6 separate regions of the Mus musculus genome follow, and regions 2, 3, 4, 5 and 6 are each reported to be linked to region 1. Evidence: microRNA targets listed by miRTarBase, many of them from high-throughput screens and not tested one by one. Region 1 holds a microRNA gene; each other region holds the end of a gene's coding sequence.
Evidence for each region. The annotated mature microRNA mmu-miR-24-3p reads UGGCUCAGUUCAGCAGGAACAG and lies in region 1 at 1,647-1,668, shown strand. An mRNA with a match to its seed (bases 2 to 7 or 8) in the 3' UTR can be bound and repressed. Matches are read on the target gene's strand: a 7mer-m8 pairs with bases 2 to 8, a 7mer-A1 pairs with bases 2 to 7 and ends in A, and an 8mer does both.

Region 1 (5,071 bases):
AAAGAAACCTGTCATCTCTCCAACATTGAAATTCTTTAAACAATTTTTAAAAATTGTGTGTGTGTGTTCCCAAGTGCAGAGATCAGAGGACAACTTGCAAGGGTCCGTATGCTTTTCTTCTTCGTGGTTCTTGGGTTTGAGCTCAGGGCATTGGGCTCCATAGCAGCTCTGCTCACTTGCTGGATCAGCTTGCTGGCCCCTGAAAACTTTAACTGGCACGCAGGACACTACTCTACATTGGGTAGGCCCCAAATTTTGTGGCTTGCCCTGGTACTGGGTGCTAAATACCTTCTCTGTAAGTTTTCACTGGCCTTCCTAGTAGAAGGTTTGGGGTTTTGTTGTTTTATTTTTGTTTTTCTTCTATTTAAGACTAGGGTCTCAAACTGTAGCCCAGTTAGGCCTAAAACTCATCATGTAGCTTAAGCAGGCTTTTGACTCCATTCTTGGCAACCTTCCTGCCTCAGTTTCCTCAATGCTGAGATAAACGTGAGCCACCAACTGCAACTGTTGTAGTCTGCTTTACAGATGGGGAAACTGAGGCTTGGAAGGCCTAGGGGAAACTTTACTGAGGTGTTATTGTTGGGGTGCATCGGCCTGCTTCTCCTTGCTTGGGCCCTAGGTGGTGTGGGGTGGGGGTGGGGTTATGTCTGAGCTGGCTGGGGAGGAGAGGGCTGAGGTGGGAGGCCCTGGAGTTTCCTCCTGCCCTTCAGGCTTCTAGGAAGTGGCGCCAGCTGGGGTGAGGTCACTTCCTCCCTCCAACCGTCCACCTCCCTCAGCTTCCTCTCCATGGCCCCATTTGGCCTGCTTTGGGCTCAGGGCTGTGGGTGGGGATAGAAGCAGAGTGGGAAGCAGCTGGGAAGGCTCTGCAGCCCCTTTGGCCTTAGGGCTTCAGGCACCTCCCGCTTTGTAGGGCTGGGGTAGAGGCACTGCTGGGTGCCCAGCATCCAGCAGCCTCGCTCCAACCTTCCTACGGATCGATGCTCCTCTTTTTTGGGAATGCTTCTTCCCTCTTGGAAGTAGAGGAGGGCTAGGGTGTGGATCAGCAAGCTGAGTTTAGATTCTGTCCCCAGCACCACTTAAACTGTGTGTGGTGAGGTGTACCTATAATCCTAGACTCCAGAGGTAGAGGCAGGAAGAACTGGTGCATTCGGAAACCTTGTGTTCAGCTATGTGAGACCCAGCCTGGTCAAGATAGGCAGGCAAGCAAGAATGCTCCAATCTCACTGTCTCTTCTTTCTCTCTTTAGGTGCTACACTCCGCTCCCACCTGCTGCCCCCCTCACTGTGCCTCGGACGGCTGGGGTTCCTGGGGATGGGATTTGATGCCAGTCACAAATCACATTGCCAGGGATTTCCAACTGACCCTGTGCTCTGCCTTGGGGGCTCCTGTCGCCAAGGATGTCTGTCTTGGGTACTGGGTAACAGAGAAGCCTATCATGACAACTGGCCTGAGGAGCAGGGCTTAGCTGCTTGTGAGCAAGGTCCACAGCAAAGTCGTGTTCACAGTGGCTAAGTTCCGCCCCCTGGACCCCATCTCCTCAGGCCGCTGCTGCCCACCCTGCTCTGCCTCCTGGCTGGCAGGGCTCTGCCTCTCTCCGGGCTCCGCCTCCCGTGCCTACTGAGCTGAAACAGTTGATTCCAGTGCACTGGCTCAGTTCAGCAGGAACAGGAGTCCAGCCCCCTAGGAGCTGGCAACCCTGCAGAATGTCTGCCGTGAGCAAGACCTGGAAACAATGGGGTAATTAGTCCAACCTAAGCCCCGTTGTCTGCTGGAGGCTCAGCCTCTAAGCCTGCATCTGGGTGTCCACCTTGAGATTTCTGTGGTTCCCCAAAGCAGATAGATGGGCGGGTAACCCTTGCATTAAAAGCCAGTTATGTCCCCTCAGGGCCTGGAAGCCCTTCTTTTCCTAAGTCTGGTGGGGCTCAGGCACCACCCCTTATACATACCATCTTTGAAGTCAGTTACCCAAGAGGAAGCTGCTTTAGGCCCTCTAACGGTTAAATGCCAACTCTCTGCTTCCGGAAGAAGGCACTGACCTGATCCAGTGTGCCTAGCAATCCCATGGGGTCTGCAGCTTTCTGCTGGTGACAGCGAGGCAGGGAGCGAGGTCCACACAGGCCTCAGGATATGAACAGATCCATGCCCCCCCCCCCCATTGGCCTGTTGAAGTAATCTCCAGGCTTGGAAGTTAAAAAGTTGCCTACTACCCACAAATGAGACTGCATGCAGACTAATTGGAACTGGCTGAGTTACACTTCCCAGACCATACAGTGTCCTCTCCCTACTCTGGGCAGGGGCAAATCGAAGCCTGGGTGGAAGAACAGAGTTGAAAGCTTGTATTGAATGTTGTTCTCCAACTAAATAAAAGCTCCACAGCCTCATTCCGTAAGGGCTGACGTCTCTTCATTCCCGCCTCCCACATGTGTGTTGCTGGCTTTTTTCATTTCTCTTGAAACAGCATTTCTGTGTAGACCAGGCTGACCTTGAATCAAACTCCTCCAGTGTCTGGAGTTTGGGAATACCAGCTGCACCACTATATCTACCACACCCTGGGCTCCTAACCTGCATTGCACCTATCCCCAACCTTGCTCCACCTGCTTCTAGGAAGGTGTAAATATAGTTCTGTGGTCAGTAGGTGCTGCGACCTGAAGATCCTGGGATCCTTTGGGGATGGCTTGAACGGGAGGGATAACCCAGACCTGGGGTGTATGAGACCAATCTGTGGTCACCCCAGTTCCATGAGGGAGTATGTTACAAGAATGTACTCTGCCTATGCTGGGATGCACTGACTGGCAAGATGCCAGGGCTTAAGGACGGGCACATATGCGCGCACAGACAGACACGCGCGCATGCACACACACACACACACACACACACACAGGGCTTAAGGACGGGCACATATGCGAGCACAGACAGACACGCGCGCATGCACACACACACGCACGCGCGCGCGCCCGTCTACACACACACACACACACACACACACACACACACACACGCACGCACGCACGCACGCGCGCGCGCCCGTCTGCGCCAGAAGGGCTAAGGGGCGGATCGCCTCTGATCGGCTCCCTGGAGCAAAGGAACGCACCATGAACTATGGCCACACTCATAGTCACAGCCAGCTCCCATAGTGCCCCACAGAGGCAACACACACACACACACAGCTTCCAAGAGAACGGTCCTAAACAATGACCCTGTCAGACACAGCTAAGGACATAAAGAACCGGAGAATGAGAAGAATGCCCAGGCCGTCCGCTGGATGAATCCATCTAAGAACGGGAGTCTCATCCACAGCCCAAAAATGCAATGGGCAGGTCACTGGGGACACAGGCGTCCCCAGCTGCCCTCCGCACCTGGTGAGACCTCCGGAGCTCCGAATGACGTTGTCTGGAGCCAGACGCCCCCTGGTGGTCATTTCCTGCAATGAAGGACAGTGCAATCTGGGTGCATTTTCCAAAAACCTACAGACTCTAGGTTTGGGCGTTTTAAGCCTCCTGACTTGCAGAGATTATGACATGCAGATGGAAAAGCAGTAAAGCCACCAGCAAGAGGTGGCTCTTCGTGTCACCACGATGCCATGAAGAAACCAGCAGCCTCTCCTGTCCCATTCAAGTTGTGCCCAAAAACCGAGATGGAAAATTTTTTGGTTAATTGAGCAGGTGGTAGGTACCCCTGGCCCCGGGTGTTTGTGTTAGCAATGCAACCCAGTCTTGAAGTTAAAAAGAAGTTGTGTTCAATCTTTTTTTTAAAAAAAAAGGAAAAAAAAAGGAAAAGAATACAGTATGGGGTTCAATAAATAAGAAAAAAAGTTACAAAATGATGCCAACTTTTTCCTTAATATACAAGAGAGAAGACAGGTGCGTCTGGGGTGGAGGCTCTCCCTTCTCTTCCTCCCTGGGCCAAGGCCTGGGATACAGGAAGGCCTGTCAGCAGCTGGGACTTGAGAGAGATGCAGACATGGGGAAACTAAGGGAGTGGGGAAACAAATGGAGGTGCAGAGCAAGAGGAAGACAGAACGGGGTCCCTGGCTGTCTGCCTGTGCCTCCCACAACAGGCTGGAGGGCAGCCTGACTCCTGAGTTGTGTATCCAGTTACTAGTGGTGGGGTCTGGCCAGCAGAGAGCTGTCCCCAGCCTACCCTGTGACCTTGGTGCCCAAGAGAAGACAGGCCCTGGCTTGACAAGGGTATTTGGGGGTGAGGTATGTGGCAGAGGCCCAAGACCTCTTAATATCCTTCAGTGGGGTGAGGCATTTGTGCTGGAAAGCTGGGGCTGGGGGCGCAGGGCAGTGGGACAGGAGCCCTGAGCTGTGGAGAGGGGAGAAACACAGTGGGAAGTAACTACCCTGATGTGAAGTGCCTAGGCTCCGGCCAGCTCCGGCTCTGGAGCATCTGCTGCACTGAGTTGGAGGCCTAACTTCACTCTGGCCCAGCCCTTCTCCTGGAAGTCCCAGCTGACCCTGGGAGTCTGGAAGAGCCAGAGCTTGCTTCTTCCGTGTGAGGTGCCCAGGCACATACTCCCTGCAGGGTCTAGTTAGCAGTATGGCTTCGGATCCTCAGATCGCATGTCCCGTTTGTCTGCACACTCCTAGGCACACACCTGGAATGATGTCACCCTCTGCCTCCCACCTCTGTAACTTTACTGCAAGTAGCCATGGGCCTCCTGTTTGAGGAAGGTGGGCCTGGGACACCCATGCTCCCGGCTTTCTGCAGTTCCTCAGCCAAACCGTTCCCGAACCAACAGCATCAACTTCTTCTTTCCCTTGTACGTCTGTTTCAGGTTTTCTAAGAACTGTGCGAACTGGAGGTGCCCGTCTGGTGCCAGAAGGAAGGTCTCTCGAGCTTTGCCCAGGAACTCAATGAAGTCACCATAGTGGCGTGGGCTAATGTGGGTGAGGCGAGAGTGGCTGGTGGTTATGTACGCGGCTACTGCGGCATCCAGAAGCTGACAAAGTGGTGCCCTGTCAGTCCCTAGTGGTTTGGTAGCCCTGCGGGCCCCCAGTGGGCCCAGCCCGGGTGCTGAGAGTGTCCAGCGTCGCAGGATGTCTGAGAGCATGGGTGCACAGTGGAT
Region 2 (5,071 bases), not on the chromosome of region 1:
TGTAGTAAAGTACTCACCTGAAAGACAGCGCTCGCTCCGTCCCCACCACGATGCCTCAACCTTTACCATCAACATTGCTCTGAATAATGTAGGAGAGGATTTTCAGGTAATTATGACAAACATATGAAAAAAAAAAGTTTAGGAACTGTGGTATTATGGAAAAGGCTCTGCTGATATTTGTTTTTTTGTTGTTTGGTTTTTGTTTGTTTGTTTTTTGCTCGCCATTTAGATGGCACAGTTTGAATGTTGCTACTGATTAAAAATGTGCATGTTTGTGTTTAACTTTTTTAGGGAGGTGGATGCAAATTTCTGAGGTATAATTGCTCCATTGAGTCCCCACGAAAAGGCTGGAGCTTCATGCATCCTGGGAGGCTCACACATTTGCACGAAGGACTTCCTGTTAAAAATGGAACACGATACATTGCAGTGTCATTTATAGATCCCTAAGTTATTTACGTAACTCAAACTGAATGGCTCTCTGAGATGGATGACTGGCGTGAACATGTCTCTGAAGTTGTACTTGAGAAGACAAGAAGAATAATGTCAACAGAACAACATCACTTTGGGCCAAGCATTTGAACACTTTTTATATAAAATTGTGTGATGTCTCTTTATGTCTGCTCTGAGCCTTAAAACACAGGTTGAAGAAGAAAAGAAAGGAAAAAAAAGTGAAAGTTGGTATTTATTTCTGTGCTTTAATTGTCTCTGAAAATAATGACAGTTTATAAAATGTTTAGGTACAAAGGCATAAATGATAATAAGTAAGCCTGGTAATATGTTCTTATTTAAGAAGAACCTGAGAAGGTTTTATTTATCGGTGGGGGAAGTATAGCAAACGGTTCTAAATGAAAATCAGCAAACCTGAAAGCCTGGGATTCTGACGCCTACTGGCTCTATGTAATTATTAAGTCACATTGACCTCTGTGTAGGGCTGTTTTCCAGGAATTAGGAAGAAAACCCAAAGAAAATATTGCACAAAGGTTTCCCTCAGGAAACCTAGTGCAGATAGCCATGGAAGCATAGCCACTGGAAAGGAACAGTGCATGAGGCAGATGTTCGTTTCTGGTGGAAATTGGGCCCCTGTGTTCCTCCAGGGCAAGTCTCAGGGGAAGCTCATGTCTTTCTGCTTTACAAAGTGCTTCAAGCGTCAGCTCCAAGTGTCCTTATGTCAGCAGGATTTGTTTCCTTCTAGTCCCCCCCCCCCCCATTATAGAAAATAGTAAGGAAAAATAACAGTTTCATTGAGATCAGTAGTAAATTTTACTATGTTTTTTTTAAAGCTTACGTACTTGAATTTTATATCAGGAAGATGGTTTTTGAGCCTGTTCCTTACCCTTGACTATAGTTGGTAGTTGGTCTCTTTTTTCCCCCTAGGGGAGGGGTTTTTCTTTCCCTCACTGCAATCTATTTTCTCATTCTTAGTCTCCTTAATTACTTTTCCTCTACCCTACTTGTTAAAAGTTCCCACAGCAAAATTTTTTATTTCAATTTTTAATATTTCTCCAAATGAGGTTTAAATATACTATAGCTACTGTTTTTAATTTAAAGGTTAAACTTGAAGAAAGTCTTTATTCACGGTGCCAAAATTCATTTTTCTAACTCTGTGTGTTAGGAAATAATGAAAAATAAAATAATTTAAAATAAACATTGTGCCTCTCTGTCTTATTGGTGTTTCTTTAGAACTGAATGTATCGTAAACTAGCCTGAAAGCATATCTGATATAAAAGCCGTAATTATTTCATTTACCTTGATGGCTTAATAGTATATCAGTTACTACGTACATTTTAAATTCAGCTATATTTTTCTACTCGTACGGTGACAGGTCATCTTACCAGGGAGATGATATAATTCATTCTATAGGAGTGCAAACGAAAGCCATACATTCACTCAGTCTGCATCTTTGTCTAGTTGTAGTTTTGAATATCTGAGGATCCAGGTTCTGTTCCAAGCCATGAGGATATGGTGGTTCCGCTCTCATGCTCACCAGGAAGAAGTGGGATTCCCTCCTTGTGCTCTTCTTGGTGTCCCCAAACATGCAAAGTAGATCAGCCAGATTGAGGACGCGTTTTAGTGATGATTTATTAATCTAATCGCACTCCAGGCAGTGTTCACAATTAGTAGATCTGGTCTGGCGGTGGCACCATCCAGGTCCAGCAGACTAACAGACTTACTCTCTGCAGGCTAGCCTCGGACACATGCTACACTGTCCAGAGGGGGCCAGATGCCAGGCGTTGGCTCCTTCGTGACACGTCAGGCCATGTTTTCAGGAATTGAGTAAACACAGCACATTAGCAAATTTTCGGGTTTCATTTTTCGTCTCCCTTTAATGAAATAATACACAGTGTATCCTAGAATCATAATTAGAGTAAACCTCCCACAAGTAGATGATACAAGTTAAAGATGGGGAGATGTAGGATTGGGTAGGTGGAGAAAATGGACTACTGAGACGCTGATGGGAAGAGTTCCTGGAGCCATGATTCATGTGTTCTTTTCAGGAATAACAAAATGACAGATGTCTCTGCAAGAGAGTGTGTATGAGGTAAACATCATGCTGCTGGAGTGTAAGACCAGCAAGAAAAAAATCCATGTCCTCTCTCTCTCTCTCTCTCTCTCTCTCTCTCTCTCTCTCTCTCTCTCTCTCTCTCTCTCTCTCGGTGTGTGTGTGTGTGTGTGTGTGTGTGTGTGTGTATAAAATTCTAGAGAGGAGCATAAACGTGTGAGACCTTGGAAGAGCAAACGGATTTTGTGCTTTTTCCTTACAACTGCAATATTTCACTATGTGAATGCATTTAGGCATTATTGAAAGAAAACACACACAAAAAATCATTTACATGTCTAAAAGGACAGGCTTGCAAATCCTCATGATAGTTATTTTGCTCCACATTATTTTTCTCCTTTTCTTCTTTCTTCCGCTAATGTTTGAAACCAGAACCTCTTACTCCCGTTCATTATACATGCCTCATGTCTGCTTTTACTAACTATTTATGCACATGGAATCAGTATGAAAGTTGTCCCCTAGAACAGATCATTATATTCTAGTATTTCATTCTCTGTTCTGCTTTACCTTAAAAAATAACTAATATTGGTAATTTCATAGAGTAAAATTTTGGGAAAAGCACACATGAATGTAATAAGCGGAGCTCTGAGTGATAGAAGTAGCCCACTTTCTTGCTAGTTTGCCTGCTGGCTAAACACTAGAGCACACCTTATGTGTTAGTGTTTAGACATGTCATTCATTCAGAGTTTGGGACCACTTACACACCAGATCCCTTTAAATGGCAGACAAATCTAATAGAATTTAAAATTGCTGTTCACGGTGGAGAATCAGTCTGTATAAATAACTTCCTTTCACTAGATGCTGTTTTTGGAAAATTAAATTATTTAGGACATCATGAAAGCAGGCTTTGTCAGCAGTGTTTTTCTGTGGCCTTTCACAGAACAAGTACAGACTTGGAATTGTTATTAAATATACATTGAAGGAAAACATAGAGGCTGTGTGAGTGTGTGTGTAAAAAACAAGCTTTGATTTAAATTAAGAAAGTAGAAAAGTACATGGATGCATGCTTCTAAAATGCAAACTGAGCTGTGGACTGGGCTTGGAGCCCATTGGAAGGGCTCTTGCCATACAGGTACATAACCCTATGTTAAGTTATAAGAGCGTTTTTTGTGCTGTCAAGTTGATGATGTTCATATTTGTTTATTTGTACATTAAGAAACCAATTAGCATGTTTTGTCTTCACTGAAAAATAAGTGGCTTCTTTTGAATATTAATATTCTTTGTAAATTAGGAATTTCTGCCTATATTATATAATAGTAAAAACATGAGTCATTAATTTAAAATTGCCATAGCATGCCGTAAGAGTCACCGTTTCAAAGCCTCATTTTTGTAAATTACGTTGTAATTTTGTAAGTTACGTTGTCACTGAGAATTAAGGGACAGAGAAGTTTCCTGTGAATTTGGGTAGATAGTAAACTGCTCTGTGCATAATTGCACAATAACTTTTTAAGTAATTTAAAAAGGTGTTCCTTAAAGTGTTGTTCAGTGACCTTTGAGACTGTAATAGGATCTCTTGGAAGATCACGGGGTAGTTGAATCTGCTGGAGCTTGTAACAGCCAAGGCAGCATCGAGCCAATGGAAACATAATTGATACTAAGCATTAGTGATACATAATTGATAGTTGGAAAAAAGTATAGAGTTTCGATAAGTTATCTTCTTAGATTGTGTTTTACTAAAGCCTTCTCATCTGGATTTACATGGTTTGTGTTTGCAAACTATGACATCACAGCTCCACCTTGTGGCTAGAATCCACGGATGATAGTCTAATCTAAACATGAGAATCCAAAAACTTGAATTTCCCTTTAGTTATTCCTAAGCGTTTTTTTTTCTTTAGAGCTAGTACTAATGAAGATTGAAGAGATGATTTTTCAAAGGTTCTTTTTAAATGATTTGCTGTGCTCTGTATCAGTGTTTCAAAAGGAGTAATCGCAGCACCTCATTCTCAGAGAATGGGCATGCCTCCAGTTAATGCTAATGAAATGGATTGTCCTCAATTCTAACCTCTATTGTAGGCTTCTCATTTAAGTTTGTCTCACCTAGTAATGCTAGTAACTGCTAGCGTGTGTTACTAATAAAACTTGTATAGAAGATGTCAGACGCAGGTACATTTGATACATTTTGGAGTAGACAAGTTATAGCTATACCACCACAGGAACAGGTCTCGAGGAGTCTACAAAGAAGAAATCTTTTCAATTACTGTATATGAAAAAGAAAGAAATAGTAATTGTGAAATAGTAATTGTGAGTGCTCATTACAAGGCTGATGGCTGGAACATTAAGGACACATTACTGTGGTTAAAAAAAATAGAAACTGTGTGATTGAAACACTGAAAGTTACAATGTGCATTTTTGACATTAATGATGTTTTTATAAATGGAGAGTGGTTGTCAAAATAGTTCTCGGCTATGTCTGCTTTTCGTGTTCACCTGTTCACAACCACCCTTTCCTTGTGCCTTGGCTATTTAACCAAACTAAAGGGACCCAACTCACTCTACAGCACTGGTTCTCAACCTT
Region 3 (5,071 bases), not on the chromosome of region 1:
GGCCATGCCCACTGTCCTCTCAGGTGACATGCCAAGCAAACTGGCCTTGTTGGGCCCCTGGTTGCCTCAGTCCCTGGATTCTTGGCCACTTCCCTGAGCTTGCTTTGTCTACCCCCTTCTAGTGCTATGAGCTGTCCACTATTCTGCTAAATTCCTCTTCTGTGCATGCAGTCACGAATGCAGTTAGTCCAAGTCCAAGCGCTCATTTGGTAAGAGTCTGACAGTTTGTCCCTGAGTGAATGGATAAGAGATTTTCTAGTGTGGGTGTGCATGGCGGGCGGTGTGCACGCCTTTAATCTGAACACTCTGGAGGCAGAGGCAGGCGAGTTTGAGTCCAGTCTACAGAATAAGTTTCAGATCAGCCAGGGCTGGGCTATTATCGTACAGGGAAACCCTGTCTCCAAAAACAAACAAACAAACAAAAAAGTAAGAAGAAAAGAAAAGTAGTTTGTAGCTCTTGCATATTATCAGAAGGAACACTACAGAGTTTCCATTTTGAGAATTAACCCCATCTGACATTGAGATTCCTGATAGGTTATCTCCGACGATGAAATGAGCCAGCTCATGCCAAGTTAAAGTATAAAGGCAGGTTTATTGGAGGCAGCTCTTAGGCAGGTTCACCAGTCCCAAGAAATGAGACCAGGGAGGTCACCGTGCAGACAAGGAGACAGAGCGGAGGGGGGAAGAGAAATGCAGAGGGGGCTGGGGGTACAGGATGCCCAGACCAAAACAAAATGTCTGGATTATATAGTGAAGAACCTCTGAGGAGAAGCCCAGCCTCTGGGCTGCAGAGTTCAAGTAGGGACTGAGGGATGCTGGGAGAACCTGGAGGCCAGGTCTGCTTTGGTAAAATACCAAAACCTCAGCCTCTTGTCCTGGGTCTGAAACCCAGTACCTCAAGGCTGTGCTTGAACACTAGGCATTTGTAGACCTCATTTATTTTCCCGCTTATTTCATTCTTACAAAGGCCATGTGAGCTGGGCGTGGTAGCACATGGCTTTAATTCCAGCACTCTGTGGGCACAAGCAGGCTCATCTCTGTGAGTTCCAGGAGAGCTAGGGCTACATAGAGACCTGCCCCACCCTCCGAAAGGGTCCCATGACTGCACAGGACACATTGGCATAATTTCCCCCTCCCCTCCCCGCCCCCCCCCCCCACTCCCGGTCCACTTTCCAGGGTTCACTATATAGCTCTGTAGCTCTCCTGCCCCACAACTGGCTCTGTAGACCAGAGATCGAAGACATTGTCACCACAACTGGCCTGGTATGGGTTCTCAAGAGGATTATATCCCTACAGCGAGTGTGTAGGTGACAGTGACTGCCTTTGTGTCCCCACTTCTCCATGCTCAGGTTTGTCCCAGGCATTCCCCACACCTTCTTTCTTAACTTAATCGAACTGGCACACTCACTGTAACCCTACTTGTGTTCCTCTGGTGGCATTAAAAGATTGCTTCCAGCCGGGCATGGTGGTGCACGCCTTTAATTCCAGCACTTGGGAGGCAGAGGCAGGTGGATTTTTGAGTTCGAGGCCAGCCTGGTCTACAAAGTGAGTTCCAGGACAGCCAGGGCTATACAGAGAAACCCTGTCTGGAAAAACCAAAAAAAAAAAAAAAAAAAAAGATTGCTTCCCTGTCTTTGCTTACTGCAGTATGAATTAGCAGGAAGGGGGTTCGTTGTGTTTCTGTTTTTTGTTTTTTAACCTGCCCTCTCACTCCACTTGATGTGGCTGGCAGTCTCAAGAGTGGGCCCTGGGCCTTCATAGTCTTTAAATGTGGCTAATGTTTTAACAGACTTGGTCACTGAGCCACTTGCTTTGGGACACGGGAAGACCCAAAGGAAGAAATGTTCCAGTTTTGTGCTCAGAGACTCTTAATATCACCCTGCCATGTGACACTAACCTTGGGAAGATGGGGACAAACATGTACTCACTCCAATCAGGAACCAATGACGGATCAAAATAAGCACACCACCCGAGTCCAGTATAGCAGACTGATGAGTTTTATTGGGGTTACAGACAGAAGTATGGGTGAGGGGTTACCGCAGGATCACAAATGACTCGAAAGACAGCGGCACCATGAAAGCTCACCATGTCACAAAAGCTGTAAACTTGAAGCCCTCTGTACAACTTGCAGACAGCTCAACAGGTTAGAGAATGTCTGTTTCAGGCAGCTCAACTTGTCTGAGAGTGCCTCTCAGCAGTCTTCACAGCTAATATACTTGGAAAAGAGGGGGCCTAGTCTGTCTGGTGGGTTTCAGGGAGTCCCTGAACCCTTTGAGTTGAATGGATGTCCTTTTAGAACATCCTGTGTTCCTGGGGAAGAGGTGTTACTGGATCATAGGAAACTAACTCACTCTCTGTCTCTCTCTCTCTCTTCTGGAGAGATGGTTCTAGATCTTGAAGTAGAGAAAAGACTGTGTTTGAGCATGCTAACGACAACCCAGTCAAAATGGAGGATGTTAACATTTGCTGTGAGAATGCCCAGGGTTACAGACTGGCAGCTATGCCTTACTTCTGGGAATCTGAACTCAAGTCCTCATGCTTGGGTAACAAACACTTCACCTTTTGAGCCATTTCCTCAGCCCCTGATTTTGGTTTTGTTCTGAAAACAGAACAAAACAAAACAAAACAGAGCTCACTGCCTAGCCCTGGCTAGAGGATCTCTGAATTCAAGGCTGGGATTAAAGGCCCACACCACAACTAGCTGGCATGTCATTCCTCGCCTCCTTACCCACTGGTGTTTGGCTTTCTATGGTCTAGCTCAGAGCAATATTTACCTCAGGAAGTAAAAAATAAAGTGTAAGTATGTTCAGAGTGTTGAAATGGGCTGGCGAGATGGCTCAGAGGGTAAGAGGATGGACTGCTCTTCCAAAGATCCTGAGTTCAAGTCCCCGCAACTACATGGTGACTCAACTACCGGTAATGAGATCTGACACTCTTCTAGTGTGTCTGAAGTCAGCTACAGTGTACTTACGTATAATAATTATAATAATAAATAAATCTTTGGGCCGGAGTTAGCAGGGACTGAGAACAGGGTTGACTGGAGTGAGTGGAGATTCTATCCCCAACAACCACATGAAGGCTCACAATCTTTTCTTTCTTTTTTTTTTTTTTTTTGGTTTTCCGAGACAGGGTTGAAAGCTCACAATCTTAACATCCATCTTAATATCCCATTAAAATCAAAATATAAGCCGGGCATGGTGGTGCATGCCTTTAATCCCAGCCCTCGGGAGGCAGAGGCAGGCGGATTTCTGAGTTCGAGGCCAGCCTGGTCTACAGAGTGAGTTCCAGGACAGCCAGGGCTACACAGAGAAACCCTGTCTCAAAAAGAAAAAAAATTATAATGAATAAGTATATTTAAAAGTCAAAGTTTAAAAATCAAGCTAGAGACTAGAGAGATGGCTTATCAGTTAAGAGCACTGACTGCTTTTCCAGAGGTTCTGAGTTCAATTCCCAGCAACCACATGGTGGCTCACAACCATCTGTAATGGGATCTGATGCCCTTTCTGATGTGTCTGAAGACAGCTACAGTGTGTGTGTATGTATGTGTGTGTGTGTAAATTCTTTTTAAAAATCCAAGCCAGAAATTGTGGTTCACACCTCATACCTCAGCACTGGGAAGTGGAGACAGGAGGATTGCCATGAGTGTGAGGTCAGTCTTACACAGTGAGTGCTAGGCCAGGCAGTCTTGACAAAATAAAATCGGAATTATTTGGTTAATATTTAGCCATTCACTCATTCCTTCATTTATTTTAAAGCGTATTTTGTGTGCATATGTGTGTGCCTGCGTGTATGTATGCACCACTCATATGCAGGAGCCTTTGGAGGTAAGCAGATGCTTCCAATTCCCTGAAACTGCAGGTATGAAGTTGTGACTCATCATGTGGGTCCTGGGAGCCAATCTAGGTCCTCTGTCCTAATCGCTCTTAAGCACTGAGCTCTCTCCAGCCCCCTAGTCACTCATTTAAAGATGGGCTGTTACATAGCCCAGGCTGGCCTTGAACTCAATCCTCCTACTTCAGTTACTGGGCTTTGGGATCACAACACTACACCAACCTTATCATCTGGCTTTAAATAACATTATTTTAGATCAACTTATTGCCTTTTTAAGATAAGAGTTTCTCTGTAGCCCTGGCTGTCCTGGAACTCTCTCTGTAGACCAGGCTGTCCTCAAAATGCGCAGAGATCCACCTGCTTCTGCCCCCGGAGTGCTGTGATTAAAGGTGTGCCCCACCACCTTCCAGCCCTTGTCTTTGTCTCATTCCCTGCCCTTTCTCTCTCTAGGGCAGATAAATCTCTGTGCTGAGAATTTGGTCTTGGGGGTCCTGAGCCGACTTCAGGGTCCTACCCTAGCTCCAGCTTCCAGCTTCTTTGTTCCCTGTTCCCCTTGTTAGGAGTCTGCTTTTGGTACCCTCCAATGTCCAATCCTACTATTTTTTTTGTTGCCCGCCGCTAATCTGTTTATTGCGATTCCTGGTCTTGGTACTTTTTAAGTGGAGCAGTAGAGATGGTTCTTGAAGTACTGGAGTGCAACCTTGAATTGGATCACAGAATTGGTGTTGGCCCGGTATTTGTCATAAGTCTTCTCCAAGGCAGCCAGCTTTGGATCCTTTGGTGGTGTTCTTACTTGGTGGTTTATAATTACACCCGGGCAAGAGCCCACCAACAGTCTCCCCAGCCCATCAATAAAGAACTCTGCAAAGAGAAGAGGAACGGGAGACAAAAGGAAGCTAAAGACAGACAGCTGTGGTTCCCCACCCACGCCGGACAGGGAGCCCTGGAGCTGAAAGGAAAGAAACAGATAACCTCAGTTTCTCAGATTGGAGAGTGGGCGTCAAGTCCGCTGGGTTCCACTAAATGGGACTGTGGGTTCTGGAGAGGAAGGGGTGAAGGGAGAGGGCAGTCCCTAAGTGCAGTTTTTGGTGGAAAAGACGTTCTGAAAGAAGACTGAAGCTGAGAAAGGTAGAGGGCTGAGCTGCGGGGAAGGACGGAGAAACGTGTCTCAAGTGGGCAGAGGCAGCATAGGGAGACACCGGGAGATGAGGGCGGCAAGAGGGACCATGAGTTCCACAGT
Region 4 (5,071 bases), not on the chromosome of region 1:
AAGGTGTACATGAGATGTCAGAGCTCAGAGCTCTGGGGGCAGGAGGCAGGACTTTTGGAACACAGGGTTAACAGGCATCATGGGTCAGAGGCCAGGATGATGGGCTAGGTGAGTGACAGGAGCCTAAGATGTCTGAAGGCCTTGTCCAACTGAGCCAGCATCTTGTCCTTGACCCACACTCTGCTCTTTCACCTCCTCTCAGGCTGGAGGGGACAGTGGCCTGGCATTCCTCGTGGAATTAAGGAGTCCCCAACTCCAGTGATACCAGCCCAGGATAGTGAGGATAGGACATCCCTGGGGACTGTACACGTTGTAGCTGCCATGGAGTGACAGGTATGTGTTTTCTCCTCAGAAGCAGACTGAATTTGATCTTGATTACTGTGAAGGACCGGCCAGTCTGGGATGCTGTATGCCATGTGGAAGGGCCAAAACTGCCACATATCATCTTGATGGCCAGCTGCCAGGCACCAGGAGAGCCTCTGGAGCCTCGCTGAACCCAGAACCTGCCACCGCCCCAACCACCTTCCGCCTGACATTTCTGAGCAAATAGCAATGGTTTCTCATCAGCCCATCTTCCCACAGAGCAGGACCTTTCCATGGCCTCCCAGGGACAATTCAGATTGCATATACCTAGACCCAGAATCAAGTTGTTAGCATATACAGCTGCCTATATTCATTTAATAAAGCATACTACTACAGACATTTTCAATACATAGGAACTCGGGTTACCAAAACAGTACAGCTCTGACAATGCCATGTCTGTTTTCTGGGAAGCTGAGACCACAGGGACCCTCATCCTCTGCAACAGTGGGAGTCCCAGGCATGCTCAGAACTGCACCAGGCCTGGCCCTACTTGTCTTCTCAAGGGAACAGATTGTTGGAAGAGATCTCTGCATCACTGAGTGGAGGCAAGCCACATTTTGTGCCAGACTTGTCTTGTGTTCTGATTGACAAAGAGCCCACTGTTACCTTCAGTTCTGAACACAACCAAGCTATGACATTACCATTGGATGCTAACCATTCTCTTTAGTTAACTGTAATTCTGGTTTTTTTTTGTTTGTTTGTTTGTTTTTGAGTTTGAATCATGGACCAACTTCTCCATTATCAGATCAACTAAAGAAACCATTGTTGTAAAGCCCAATCTACTGACCTGTAGCTCCCTTCAGCCCTTCAATCCAGACTCCTTTAGAACAAAAGGAAAGTGATCAAAGTAGAGCCAATTGCTGTGGCTTTGGTCACCAAAGTGCTCAATGCCTCCTGCAGGTCAGAAGGAAATACATGGTGGCTGGAGGAAGAATGAGGCTGAAGGGCTTGGGAGATTTGAAGTGACTAGAGCTACACTGTTCTTGAACACAAAGACCTGCAGGTCAGAGTTCCTGGCAAAATGCCTGTCACACACCAAGGGCCCTGGCCAGCTACTGGTTTCATGATCCAGAGGTGCTGGGCATCACTGGACAGATTCCTGTGAGGGTGTTTTTAAAGTTCCACATTTATATTCCCAACCTGAGAAACAAGTACTCTATCTACTTTTGCCTAAGCCTCATGTCTTTTTAATTAAAATCACAAGAAATGGTGCCTTTGAAACAATGGAAAACTTGCTTAGGGAACTGTACTAAACATTAAAGCCCCAGTCTCACCTAGGCTGGCTTCTCTGAGAGCAGTAGACAAAGCAGGGTAGGGGAGGGAAAGATGACAAACAGGATGTGTCATCATAGCCCCACTTACCTCTTGGAGATTCCATCAGGAGACCCACAGGCAGGGCAAGAGCTTTGAAAACCAAGAAGCAGTGGTCAACTTCCAGGTGTTCTCCTCCCTCCCTTCCCAGGGGAGGGGAATAGTCTGAGGATGAACATGGCGGCCTTCAGCCTTTTAGGAAAGAGGGCTTTTTTTTGTAATCCAGGGCCCTGGAACCATTATAAGTTGTTTCTCCTGCCCTTCCTGTTCCCATAGGGATGGCCTCACGTTTGATTGGAATTTATTATTTTGTTTTATTTTTGGGGTTTTTTTTTTTTTTTTTTTTTGACTACTTGGCAAGTTTTGTTGCCTATTTTTGTATCCTTTCTGTTTGGGGAGGGAAGCTATTTGGCCCCAAACCTTGAGGAATTGGAAAGAATAAATGGTGAGTGATTGTTTTTCTTCAGAGAACAGAAGCCTGAACGTTCTCCAGAACATGTTTGTATATGTGCAGATTTACATATCCATATATACAGGACACATACTTATTTGATACTTTATTCATAAATCGTACAACTGATGTGCATTTGAGCTTCATGTGGATGCCTAGGGGGAAGTAGTCTGTGTGTGAAGAGAGAACAGTATACTGGGCAGCTGGAGCAGCAGGGGAAGCCATCTCCTGTCTAAGAAGCATGTGTGTCTCACCTGAGCCCAGACGCCTGCTGGGCTTCTCCTCCAGAGCCCTGCTGCACTAGCTGAACAGTAGACTATAAAAATGTCTGAACAATGTACATGGAACAGAAACATTACGTTACTTGGTGGACATTATGCAGGACACAGAGAGCAGCCTGGTCTCGGGCACTAGGTAGTCTTCTGGATGGGAAGTTGCAGTAACACTGGCCCCAGCACACCTTTCTCAGAGCTGGTAATGGCAAGATTGTTCAGGTAAGAAACAAGTTGCTTCCTTTGCCCTTGGATAGGGGAGGGAAGTTGTGGCTTGGACCTTGTTTGATAGATAATGGTGAGGGAGGTGGTCATAGCGTAGGCACTCCAGGGAAGGGCTTTGGGTACCAAGCATGGGTGCACTGACAGAGGAGTTGGGGTGTAGGTTGGCAGATACCAGGTCTATGGTTACTATGTGACATCACAGTGGCCTTGTACAGTTGGAGGCTCAATAGAAGGCTGGCCGTGGCTGCTGAGGTGGGGTGGAATGTGCTTCTCCTAACAAGGTGTGCTTTGTGACATGGTGAGTCTTGCCCTATCTTCTGCACTCACTTGGACTTACCAGAGGCAGTACATTCTAAGTGTCTTTTGTGCTGGTCTTGTATATTGATTTTTTTCTACTCATATATGTCAGTTCAGTTACAGATCAGAACCAACTCTAACAGAAACCTAAACTTATACATAAGCTTTGCATATTATTTGTAATTTTTTGATCAGATTTTTTTTTCTTTTGGTAGTTGGGTGTGTTAGTGTTGGGAGTCCTTTCCCTAGATGACTTTGAGGTCTACTAGTGACGGTCCTTGCACTTTTCTCTTGGCTGGGTGTCAGCAGCTGCCAGTGAACAAAATACCTTAGCACGAGGGCACCCTCCCCTCTGGAAGCACAAGGAGAGTTGGGTGGGACCTGGTAGGTAGCTACCTGTATCCTAAGTCTCTCTCCAGCTGCCCTTGGGTATGTGCTACCAGGAAGCTCAGCTGCATTCTCCAGACCCAGATGGCTCTCAGAGATTTTACTTGTTCTGACAGTAGCTATGTCATACCTGTGTCCCTTCCTCCCTGCTGGCCCTAGGACATCTGTCACACAGCTGCCTCCTGTGGAGGGTAGGGATGAGGGAGCAACCTTGCTGGTTGGAGACTCGTTTTGTCCTCTAGGTGAGTGTTGAGCTGTCCCTATCTTGAGCCATTACCTTTTGTCTTCCTAGTTTCTACGTGGACCAAAACCCTCAGAGTGGAGCAGCTCAGTCAGTGCCACTGTCACAGCCCAAAGGCACTTTCTGGGAAGCCGGCCAAGGAAATCCTAAAACAAAACTTAGAATTTGTGTTTTTACTAAAGCCACTTTGCAGATGAAGTTCTATCATATTCATTTGTAAGGCTCTGTTTTCTGCAGTAGTCTTCTAGATACATAAAGGTCTTTGGTCAGCTCATCCTATCCAAATTTTGGCATGCTGCCTGGTTTTTCTTATACTAGACTGAAGCCTTTTCGCTAACATCCCTGATTTAGCCTCATCTTCTCCTATAAGAGCACACCGTTCACCACCAACCTGCCCAAACCTTTATGAGCTGATTTCCATGTGTTATAGCACTGGAGCCCACAGGCCTTTCTAAGTACAGGTCTCCCAAGACTTGAGCCTGAATTATCCACATTGCAGTTTCTTCTGCCTTGGTTCAGTGGAGTAGGTAGGTTGCTGCGCTCTATCCTCTAGGGCTAATAAGGCTGTTGAGGGTCTTCAGTGGAATGGCTGGGTTTAGTTTTGACTAATGACAGAACTGACGATCGTACTATCTGCTGTTTACATCGCTTACTAGCTAGAAATCCAAAAGGAATGGGGTTCTCAGAGTCTGTTTCTGCCAAAATCTGTGATCTCTTGTGCCTGGCCACTAGGGATGGCTGGCATCTAGGTAGTGGCAAGCCCAAATGTACTTTCCAGAATTTGTACTTTGTTGTGGTGTGAAAGCAGCTCAGAGAGTGAATGGCCCTAGGACTGAGCGCCTGCTTTGTTCTGAGTGCTTATTAACCCAGCAGGCCTATGAACTTGGTCCCCCAGACTGGAAAGCCAAAACAGGGTTTTCTAGTTCTGAGTCTAGCAGGAACACCTCTTCCCAACTCCCTAAATTCTGGAGCAGGGATGTAAATCCAGAGAGAACACTTGGGCTGCCTACTACAGACTAAGGCAGATTCTGGTTGCTACAAGGAAGAGGTAGGCACCCGCTTCCTTGGTTCTTCAGGCTCTTATGGATGTGGGACTGAATGGATTCAGTGAAGTTACCACTCTGTTGTCTCTTCCCTCCTTGAAACATACCTTGCAGCTACTCTGGCAGGAACCAGGCAGAAGAGAGGGAGGACAGCTATTTGGCAGGGACTGTGCTACATGGTGTCTTCCTGCTGTTGACAAGGGTGGGCAAATGGCAAGTTAGAACACCTGGGAGGGGCTTGCACATTTACCTGCTATCAGTGCCACTTTTGTCAAGAGACTGGCATACTGTGCCCACAGTGGGCACCTGTATGTTAATAGCTTTTCTTGATCTATGCCTTTTGACACATGTTCCCTTCCATGGAAAGTGGGTGATTCAGTTTATTCAGAACTTGAGTTGAAGGTAAACTGCCTAGGATAAAGCCTGCTCAATCACTGAATATAAAAAGGGCTGCCAGTGCTCTGTTCTCCCCCAAACAAGC
Region 5 (5,071 bases), not on the chromosome of region 1:
CATGGTGATGACGAGATTTCTCCTACAAGCAGCAGAGAATCTTGGGTAGGAGCAGCATTGAGCCTCAGAAACCAGCCTTGTCCCTTTTCCTATCAACTCTCAGGCTGAAACTGCTGGAGGATTCCAGCCTGGACACAGAAGTGGACCCTGGGAGGGACTCCAGTGCCACAGACGGTAAGGGAGAAGAGTTCCATTCTTGTCCCTTACAGATGCATGCCCCGGTTTGCCAAGCACACCTGCTCTTGCATGCCCTCTTGTTTCCAGTTCACCAATGGGACAGTATCCTGGTGAATTTGGGGATTCTTCCTGCATGGGGGGAAAAAACCCTACAGCATCAGGAGGTGGAATCTGTAACAACCACCAGAAGCCTGATGAACCCTGTGGCCTTTTCTTTCCCTCCAGGGCCCTGTGCTGAGGTTCTGGCCCAGCAGAGAGCAGCCACAACCCACCTGCTGCAGGTACTTGAAGACTTGGAGCAAGCCCACGAGGAGTTCCAGAAACGGGGATAGGAGCAAGTGGCCCTCTAGGATGCTGGATGCTGAGAAAGTGCCAGAGCCAGCTGGGGACAGAGCCATGGGGCCTCCCTGAGCATTCTTTGGCCCAGGCATCTTCTTGAGGCCCCCTTCTTCACTGCTTGGGGCCTCCCAGACAAAGCCTGGTCCTGTGTGCTCTGTAGCCAGCCAGGGCATAGGAGCCTTTGGTAGGGCCCAGTCTTGTACTGACCAAACCTCACTTTCTTCTCTGAGCCTGGAGTCTCAGCTTCACTGGACACAGCCCTTCCAATACCCGTGGCGCCCATCTCACCCCAAGCTGCTGGATACAGCTGTACCTGAACGCCAACCCTGGCGGACTCAGAAAAGCATTCAATAGGCTTGGCCAGGAACTTCCTGTTTTCCACTTCTGCTAGCCACTGTGACCTCACAGATCCTTCTGTATTCCACTCTCATCTGGCAGCCCCAACCAGGTGTTCTCAGAAGAACGGACTGGGGGCCCAGCATGCCAATTCAGAGCCTCGAAGCCGGACACAGGCTCTTCCTCTCTCTTATACCCTGTATAAAGTGATGCGTGAGCATGCTTAGCCGTGACGTGTTAAAATCGGGGTACCCTAGGGCTCAGTCAGAAGCTCCTTGGCTAGAAACAGAGGTTCCCAGACCCTGCCCTAGCCACTGAATGCATCTGACGGTCTGGGGGGGCATCTGAATTCTGGGGCTCAATGGTTCTGTGAGTGTGAGGTATGATTTGAGAGTGACCCACAGCGGAGGAAGTCGGCTGGCGGAGCCTGTGAATTCTGAGTTTGCCTAAGACAGAAAGGCAGGGTGTGGCGCTATCCCATGTGTGACCAGCAAGGGTCGCCTGGAACTGGGGCATCTCCCACAGGCTTGGGTCCACTTGAGCTGCCAGAGCCTCTTCCCCTGCTCCTTGCTCCAGGGTAGGGTGGCCTCGGTGAGCTGATATGGTGTCTCCCAGGTCTTCCTCATTCTCCTGGAGGGCTGCACGCAAGAGAATCCTGTCTACTTCTCTTGATGCTGCATGACTGGGCAGTTACAAGACCCATGCACTGCTCCCCCACCCCACCCCACCCCCACCCCCGCCCCACCGTGGTCCTCCGTTTGCTATTGTCTTCCCGGTGTTCCAGAGGAGCACAGTCACCCAGCACCCTCTCTTGGCAGAAAAAGGCCTGACAAGGAGAAAGACCATTTATTTCTCCACCCACAGTGGGACTGGTAGATTTTTTTTTTTTTTCCAAAAGAGCAATTGCTGGCGTCCCTTTAAAGCTTGGCTGACTTCCATCCCAGCAGCCAATCCTCAGAGGCGGAGCTGGTGAGTTGCCTGGGCAACGGGCCTCTGGTTGGCCTGAGACGATCAGCCGCCCACCGCCCACTTTCAAGCAGGGAGAAGTTTAACGCTTTGCTGCCTGCTCAGCTTGATGCGTGTATAGCCTGAACAAGGCCTCCTCCCCTCGCTCCTGAAGCCAGAAGTGGGTCTCAAATGTCCGGAGCGGTTTAGTGGGGGAGAAGCCGGTACAGAGGCAAGGACGATGTCTTTGCCTGGGATAGACAGAGGTCAAGAGATGGACACAGGAAGAAGAAGAAGTCAGGGTCCCGGGAAAGATAGACACAAGCACAAAGTTAAGATAGCCTCGTCCCCAGTGGCCTGCGAAAAGCTACTTAATAACCTGGGGTTTCTACCCCATTGGCTTTGCAGTGCTCAGTGGGCAGGTGGCAGCGCTGACGTGGGTTAAGGGGTTGAGGCCCAGGGGCAGAGCGACCCCTTGAAGCCTTACAGAGTCCCCCCCACTATCCCGTGCTTGACTCAAGTCCTGGGAAAGGGACGAGCCTATACAGATGTAATGGAGACACAGGTATTTCCACAGGACATGTCATGGGGGCCTTTCTGTCTCTTTCTCCCCAAGCTGGGAGAAGTGGAGAGGCACGTGGTGTACGTGCGTGAGTGCGTGCGTGCAACAGGACACGTGTGCGTTTGTGTGTGGTGTGAAGGGCAAAGCGCCATCGTTTTCCATAGGGAAGTCGCCCTTGCTGGTGGTCCTATCTCTGCTGCTCTTGCCGGAAGCCACAGGTTGGAGCCAGCTGGCCTGGTGGACTCCCATCACCCCCCCCACAGCCACCAGCCAGATCCCCTTAGCGCTTCTGGCTCCTCCCGCCGAGAGCGGAGGGAGGCATGTGCCAGGCTAGAGGCAAGGCAAAAGGGAAGGCGGGCAACTCAGGCCTCAGGCCTTGGCCATGGCCTCAGAAACCCCCTGGGCGGTGAGCTCAGCCAGCACGTTGTCTAGGTAGCTGGCGTCGGGGTAGCCGTGACCAGTGAGGTTGGAACCAAACTCCGTCTTGTGGTGAATCTCGTTCCACACCACGGTGTCCGACTCGCCCGTGGTGTTGGATGTTCCGATAGTGAAGATGAGTCTGCGTTCCCAGGCGGTGATGAGCAATCTCAGCACCTTGGGGGGGGGGGGATAGGGGGATGGGAGTGAATGTAACGGGCAGTCTGATCCTTATGCCTGTTACATTACACCATCCATTCACTACATAAAATTCTGTTTCTTTCGGAGCCTGTCATTAGTACAGGCAGGGCTTAGACCCCACTCTTAGTACTAAAGAGTCAGTTTGTGAATTAGTTCCCACGATTAAAGATCTGGAGATTTCACAGGGCAATCTAAGGTGCTGGCTTTTTGGTTAAAGAGGTAAAATCAGGTGCCCTAAGTGTGAAGATGAGGGTTTGAAGGGCTACTTGGGTTCAAATCCTGCCTCTGCCACTTGGTTGCTGTGTGACTGTGCGTTAAGTTTCTTACCCTCTGTGAACCTTTGTTTAGCTAGTGAATGAGAGGAAGCAGATTCAGGGCCTGCTGCGGCCGGGCAGTGGTGGCACACGCCTTTAATCCCAGCACTTGGGAGGCAGAGGCAAGTGGATTTCTGAGTTCGAGGCCAGCCAGGCTTATACAGAGAAACCCTGTCTCAGAAAACCAAAATAAGTAAATGAATGAATAAATAAATAAATAGATAAATAAATAAATAAATAAACAAACAAATAAAAGATAGCGGCTGGGGACTCTGCCATCATTTATTGTGGAGACCAGGTGGGCACTCACCTTTCGGCCCTTCTCATTGTTGGGTAGGTAGCAGTGGCGAGGGAAGCCTCTGGCTGTGAACTTCTTGCCTGGGTTGGGATGTTCAGGGCCCTGCAGGGACAGGCAGGAGGGTTTCAGACCACTGACGGAATCGGGGAGTTGGGGGAGGGGCAGAGAGTTGGGGCTGTGGCCTGTGGAGCTCACCTGGATGCCCGTGGGGATGTCATAGACGATGCGGATCGTCTGGGTGTCTGCAAAACCAGGCAGCGAGTGCGGGATGAGGTGAAACTCCATCTTCCCTGGTGGCTGTGTCCCTGTCTTCTCCCCGTAGATGGCTTTGCAGGTTGGACACTGCAGGCTGCCATCCTGAGACAGGGGTGCTGCTGTGAGGCCCCTGGGGTCCCACCGGGGCCCCGCACCCACTGCCCACCTCACCGCACGGCCCCCTCCCACTGCACGGCAGCCCACCTTGTGGCCCACCTTGTTGCCATTGGAGTACATGGCCACCAGGCAGAGCAGGTGATACATGTGGCCGCAGCGGCCCAGGCGGCCCACAAGCTCGGGCCGCACACTCTTGTTTCGGAGCACGCCCTCATAGCCAGATGCTGTGACCAGCCGCTCCATGCAAATGGTACAGTCCTGGAGGGCCAGGGAGATGGGGGAGGGCCATGAGGAAGGCCAGAGAGGGGTACAAAGTTTCGTGGGGAGGAGATGGAAAATCTTGGAGCTGACTCCTTGCCTGCTTAGCCCCTGAGCAGGGGTTAAATGCTTAATCACCCGAAGCAAAAGCCGGAATGGAAGACTTGGCATAAAACCGTCCATCACAAAGATGGACAGGTGCGATGCTGTTAAACTTAAGCTCCGCCCCCCCACCCCCCCAGGATCTGGTGAGGACAGTGAGGCCAGGATGGACAGGAGGAGAACTGGTCTTGGGTGCTGAGGCTCCACCTGGCTGGCTCACCTCATCAGGCGGGTTTTTCACCTTCTGCATGTACCTCCGAACCACATCCTCAGGATTCTTGCCTGCAGAGACAGCGGGACGAGGGAGGAGTAGGGGTGGGGCTCAAGTGCTGGGGAGCAGATGGGGGAGGGGTAGGAAGGAGGGCTCGAAGGGTGGGCTGGCGGAAAGCAGAGGCAGGTGCATGCTGGGTCCTAAGAATACTGCAGTTGTGTTTGGGGGTCACACGGGACCTACTTTTCTTGAGGTGTTTCTTCTTGGTCTTGCGGCACACGCCGGGCACTCCAGGCACAGGCTTCACGTCGCTTTTGCTTACTGGTGGTGGGTGCAGGATGGGTTTGGGTGCTCGTGTCAGGCACACCGGCAGCCCCGCTGCACACAGCAGGATCCCGGTCATCCCTGGTGGGTGGGGGTAGTGATGAGGGGGTGGAGTCATGAGAAGCCACGCCCTCCTCATCGTTGGGTGGGTGCCACAGAGGGTGGAGGGCAGGGTGTTTCCCCTGCCCACTGAAGAAAACCATTTCAGGTGAAAG
Region 6 (5,071 bases), not on the chromosome of region 1:
AGGGCCTTGGGCTTCTGCTGTGATCCCTGGCAAGGGAAGTACAGCCAGGAAACAGGGCAAATTAATAGCTGACTGGGTTATTGGGGTATGTGGCAAACTTAAAGCAAAATTATAGAGAGCAGTTACTTGACTTTCACTTGGGCAGACACGGATGGGAGAACAACAGAAAGTCCTGGATAATAACCAGATCTCCTAAAATGTGAAAGGTTGGAACAGTGGGCAGGTTCTACAGTGATGTTACAGTGAAAGCTGAGGTTTTAGACTCATGTGTGTTTTCATGTGTCACAGGTTGTATGTGGACATTAGGAGATGATCCTGTTTCTGTCTCCTATCTCACATGCAAGCACTTTAACAAACTGAGTCATCTGGAGGCTACATGTTTTCAGTAGGCCTTTGCTAACATTGATTGCTCCCTTCAAACAGTTTCACAGCCTTTGAGATGGAAAACCTGCAGAAGTTGCAAGTCCTTTCTACAACAGCAGTCTGCAAGTGGAAGTTGTGGGCCTGGATGTTAGGGCACAGTGCAGTGCGTGTGACCTACAGTCATCTGCAGGGACATATCCAAACCTGAGATTCCTATCCTAGCACTTGTTGCTTTGTAGCTCCAGCCCAGAGCTACATGTGCACCTAGCCTGTTGGAACATGGTCCAAGAATGGAGCCATGTGCCGGGCAATGGTGGCACACATCTTTAATCCCAGCACTTGGGAGGTAGAGGCAGGCAGATCTCTGAGTTCGAGGCCAGCCTGGTCTACAGAATGAGTTCCAGGACAGCCAGGGCTACACAGAGAAACCCTGTCTCGAAAAACCAAAAAAAAAAAAAAAAAAAAAAGAAAAGAAAAAAAAAGAATGGAGCCATGTGAGAATTCTGAGTGTTCTGAGAAATATCCAAGAAAATAAGAGTCTAGTGACCTTAGTTTCTTCAAAACTTGGAATGTGCTTTGTGCTCTGCTCAGGTGAGGCCCACAGGTGTTTCCTTGAGACTATTCATTCATCTCAACTAGCTACCGTTACTTGTCCACGCGCCTCCAGTGGAAAGCGTGTTTGCCACGTGGGTTTGAATCGATGAGAACTTTGCCCCAGTGATGTCTCTTAACTCCCAGCGTATAAACTGTCTGATGTTCTCAATGAGGTTGGCTATTGTGTGAGACTTCAGTCCACCTCAGTTTTAGGCTCCGCTCTCCCAGGCCCAGCCACCAACTAGATCAGTAACTATCTATCCATGCTCTGAAAATTCCAGCTAAAGCATGCAGACTCGCCTCAGTCTCCTAAGCACCCCACAGCTCAAGCATCACACTTCAGTCGAGGAGAGGGAAGCAAAACCGGAGTCTCTTACATTGCCATGGACAGGGAGTGGCCCATGACTACCCAGAATCAAAAATCTTTTTTTAGAAAAAACAGACCAAAATGCTAAAAGACCACACAAAGCCAGTCCCAGAAGACCTAATTGTCCAGGTCAGCAGAGAACATGTTCTGCTCAAGTGCAGCACGCAGGGGACCCAGGCCCCACTTCGGCCAAGCCCCAGGCAGTCATTACATATGGAAGGCAGACGGGATCAGAGCAGTTCTGTGAATAAAACTTTAATAATGTACAGCAGAAACTGGACAGGCTCATTCTTATATTAAAACAAAAATTTCCTATATTACAATATATTTACATTTGCATACTGGAGAGGTAAAGTGTCTAAGTGGCTATTTTACAGTCCTTTCTAATAAATTGTACAAAAAACAAACAGAAGTACCGAGAGTACCGTTCAGGGGCCTTGACGGCAACTCAGGAACGAACGGGCTTTAGACTTGGTCTGTGAATCCAGAACGCAGAGGTGCGGGTGCCCCGTGGATCAGGGTGGCCTCAGGGAGCCAAAGCACAGCTTCTCCCAACTCTCAGCTTAATGTAAAGAGTGATGGGGGGGGGGTCCCCCAGACCTGCTCCAGGCTTCCTGAGAGGCGGCTGAGCTGAGCTGCACGGAGCGCACAGGTCTCCTGGGAGTTGTCCAGTGGCGTGGGGGTCACTGTGAGGCTGCTGCTGGCAGGTACAGAGGCAGAGAGGACTCTACAGTTCAATCGCCTGTAATCACGGATACTCAGCTGCAGGGTGGGAAGTGGGAGGTCAGCAGGGGTGGGTAAGGAGGTTCCCCAGAGACACAGTTGGGACTCAAGGGACACTGTTCAATGGCCAGTAAATTGGCCCAAGGAATTAAAGGAAGATCCCTTTAAAGCAAGGAAAGTTATACACCAGGAAATAAATAGAAAGGCTAAGAATATGGGGAGACCAAGGCAGGAGAAGCTGGAGGAGACAGTTTCCCTGCAAAGACTCATGCCTCCCCTGGCAGGAAAGGCTCACAATGAACCCAGTCTCCAGGACCCACTGCTTGCCAGGGGCTTCTCTTCCCAAGGGGATACAGGTCCCCCTTCCAGTTTCAGTGGTCTTTAAGAACAGTGATCCTAGCTCATCAAGGCTCTCAGGACCAGCCATGAGCACTTCTGGTCTCCACAGCAGGTGCTCGCCCATCGCATGATTCCATTCCCTCCAGTGGTAGAGGAGCAGAGCAGCGCCCAAGCCTGCCCCACCCTGAGGAGATCCTCCCGGGCCAGCGCTCAGCAGGCTCGCAGCCCACATTTGCTGAGCAAGTATCTGGAAAGGGTCCAACCAGCCGGGCAATGTGCAGAGGGCCGAGGTGCTCACGGGATGGGGCCGAGGGTGCAGGGAGTACGAGACAGCAAGCCCCCATGGGGAAAAGCAGCCCTCACTGCTCAGCGGGATCAGGCTCAGGTGCAAAGACAAGCGTTTCCAGTGACTGAACTATGTGCGTTTGAGTCTGGAGAATTTTTGTGTTTTGTTTGTTTTAGGGATTTCTTTAAAAACAAACAGACTAAGAGGTAATTGTCACAGAGATGGTTCTCCTTTTACAAAACTTAACAATATTAAAGTTAAAATCCTGACCCTCCCCCCAAAATAAAATAAAATAAACTGAATTAAAATAAACCACTCCAGTTAAAAAGTTATGGCTTCAAAGTTATTATATACCTAAGATATGCTGACCAAATCACCACCCACAGCCAGGCTTCTAGAATTCATTAAATACTAAACTTAGGTTAAACACCATATTCAGCTCGGACCGCTCACTCTCCTCAGTAGGGACCCTGAAGTGGATGCAAGCCTTGCCTCTTCTCTACCCTGATCAGAGAATCCAGTACAAGAAGCCCATGCAGATGCCTCCCTCCCACCCCAGCCTCCCTCCCCACGCCCTGCAACCCATCCCTTCCCACCCCAAACCCACCACCAAAAATATACACTGCAGTTTGCAGAATCTGGGGTGGGACATAAACAGATGTTACATTCCAATCTGAGTCCCAAGCTCTGGCTTCGGATTCCTCGGCCCTTCCTCACAGCTGTCAAGGAAGATGCCCTTGGGCTGGCTCATTTCCCATGGCTGATGCTGAAACACAGCACCCAAGACTTCCACCTACATTCTCTCTCTGCTCATCAAGTCCCCCTCATTTTGACCCAAAAGCTTCTCCTACCATGGACAAGTGGGCCAGCTTTGGTTCTGGTCTGAAATGGAAGAGGAGGGCCTGTGACACAGGGTGGGCAAGCAGCCTGCTGAGAAGACAGAACCTCCCTGACTGATGGGGTCTGGGGACAGGAGACACCTAGGAGGGCACCAGGTTAACTACATGCTGCTCACTGAGAAGCAGCAGCACTCAGAGACAGTATGGCCACCACACCCTGGCCTACACATGCACAGAAAGCTCAAGCAGGTTAAGTGTACACACACACACTCACTCACACACACACACACACACACGGGCGTGGCACAGACCAGGCACAATGTGGGACACACCTCGGCACATGCGCACTTGGCTGGACAGACAGGCAGCAGGTTGTGTCTCTAGGGGCAGTCCCTCCGGATGTCCATGAGAAGGGATGGTGTGGCTCAGGACTGCCTACGGGAAGGAGGGAGGAAACTTCCGGTTCCTCTCAATATCTTGATGCCAGTTGACTGGTCCCTGGAGGAAAACCTGCAGCCCAGTGGACCACAAGGTATGGGGGCCGCTCCTGGGCGAGCCCAGCACCCTTCACCGCTCCTGGCAACACGCCAGATGCACTGGGCTCTCTGTACTTCCCACTGCAAGCAGTTTGAGTTGTGGCATTGAGTTGTCTACATGATTTGCTCAGAGTCTCCATGCCATCAGGAGGTAAATATAAAAAGTGTCTGTCTCAAACCCAACGGGAGTGCGCGTCTCCCAGGCTCTGTCCCTCTTGCAGGCCAGGGCTCTGGCCAGAGGGCCGGGCAGAAACAAGAGGTAGGCCTCCACGACGCTTGCACGGTGGCTGCAGTCATCCTCACTGCCCAGGTTCTTTGTGTAGGCAGAGGAACAGCTTAAATCTTCACATCTTCCTGCACGCTTAGCTGGGACAGAGTCTTCTTGATGCGCAGAGCTGTCAGACGGGCAGCACCATTGGCGTACCAGCACTCCCGCATCATCTTTCCCATCACTCGCAAGGCCTGTGAGAGACCCAGAGTGAGAGACCCGCAGTGAGAGACCCACAGAAGCCTTGGCCGCTGGCACTGGCTCATCTTCGCTGCCTGCCTATTCGTCAGGTCAGATCCACCCCGTGATGCGTTGAGGCTTTTTTCCTAGGCCTTCCCTTCCTTAAGGGGCAGAGGTGCAAGGGGAGAACGGACAGCAGGAAAGTCTGGCTCTTTCTATCTCGCCCTCAGCTAAATCTAAGGCACCCAAGCATTTTGGAAAATATTGCTCTCTTCTGCAACCACAAGCAACTGGTAGGCACTGAGGAGCCCTCAATGGGTTCCTAGGTGCAGAAACGCCCCCTAGTGGCCAGGATCTTTAAAGGTAGAGTGTGCTCTCCTTAACATGGGAGGCAAGGAGGTTGGAAGAGGACGTCCTAACTCTGAATGGTTTTCAGAATTAGCAGAGCTGAAATCTGCCCAGAGTTGACCTGGAATGCTCTCTGCACAGTCATAAGGCAAGTGTATATATATAAACAAAGATGTGTTGAGTGGCTTGACCGTGGTAGTTCCCACAGCCTAACCTAGTGTAAAGTCA

Region 2: the mRNA of Plod2 is a reported target of mmu-miR-24-3p. Seed matches in the 3' UTR shown: 7mer-m8 at 623-629.
Region 3: the mRNA of B4galnt2 is a reported target of mmu-miR-24-3p. Seed matches in the 3' UTR shown: 7mer-A1 at 3,466-3,472 and 8mer at 2,834-2,841.
Region 4: miRTarBase lists Zhx3 as a target of mmu-miR-24-3p. The part of its 3' UTR that is shown has no 7-base or 8-base seed match.
Region 5: the mRNA of Rasal1 is a reported target of mmu-miR-24-3p. Seed matches in the 3' UTR shown: 7mer-m8 at 742-748.
Region 6: the mRNA of Acvr1b is a reported target of mmu-miR-24-3p. Seed matches in the 3' UTR shown: 8mer at 3,933-3,940, 7mer-A1 at 3,416-3,422 and 7mer-m8 at 2,765-2,771.

The regions. Positions count from the first base shown.
Region 1 is chr8:84,207,229-84,212,299 of GRCm38, forward strand. It overlaps Mir24-2 (microRNA 24-2), which reads left to right and starts at 1,587; the gene lies at 1,587-1,693. It overlaps Zswim4 (zinc finger SWIM-type containing 4), which reads right to left. Exons shown (of 14, transcript NM_172503.3): 14 at 3,714-5,071. The coding sequence ends at 4,718. Mir23a (microRNA 23a) reads left to right here and starts at 1,290; the gene lies at 1,290-1,364. It overlaps Mir27a (microRNA 27a), which reads left to right and starts at 1,444; the gene lies at 1,444-1,530. It also overlaps Mir3074-2.
Region 2 is chr9:92,606,784-92,611,854 of GRCm38, forward strand. Plod2 (procollagen lysine, 2-oxoglutarate 5-dioxygenase 2) reads left to right here. Exons shown (of 19, transcript NM_011961.3): 18 at 1-106; 19 at 292-1,645. The coding sequence ends at 447. Among named protein-coding and RNA genes, the nearest start is that of B430319G15Rik, 66 kb to the left of the region's middle.
Region 3 is chr11:95,861,585-95,866,655 of GRCm38, forward strand. B4galnt2 (beta-1,4-N-acetyl-galactosaminyl transferase 2) reads right to left here. Exons shown (of 11, transcript NM_008081.3): 11 at 1,975-4,692. The coding sequence ends at 4,487. Among named protein-coding and RNA genes, the nearest start is that of n-TQttg6, 4.9 kb to the left of the region's middle.
Region 4 is chr2:160,766,907-160,771,977 of GRCm38, reverse strand. Zhx3 (zinc fingers and homeoboxes 3) reads left to right here. Exons shown (of 4, transcript NM_177263.3): 4 at 353-1,531. The coding sequence ends at 363. The region is part of intron 32 of Plcg1 (phospholipase C, gamma 1); the gene reads right to left. Among named protein-coding and RNA genes, the nearest start is that of Plcg1, 38 kb to the right of the region's middle.
Region 5 is chr5:120,678,520-120,683,590 of GRCm38, forward strand. It overlaps Rasal1 (RAS protein activator like 1 (GAP1 like)), which reads left to right. Exons shown (of 22, transcript NM_001359144.1): 21 at 104-174; 22 at 403-1,078. The coding sequence ends at 509. It overlaps Dtx1 (deltex 1, E3 ubiquitin ligase), which reads right to left. Exons shown (of 10, transcript NM_008052.3): 5 at 4,776-4,937; 6 at 4,542-4,603; 7 at 4,061-4,219; 8 at 3,785-3,946; 9 at 3,602-3,691; 10 at 1,745-2,953. The coding sequence ends at 2,729. Among named protein-coding and RNA genes, the nearest start is that of Dtx1, 31 kb to the right of the region's middle.
Region 6 is chr15:101,210,175-101,215,245 of GRCm38, reverse strand. Acvr1b (activin A receptor, type 1B) reads right to left here. Exons shown (of 9, transcript NM_007395.4): 9 at 1,562-4,509. The coding sequence ends at 4,384. Among named protein-coding and RNA genes, the nearest start is that of AU021063, 8.5 kb to the left of the region's middle.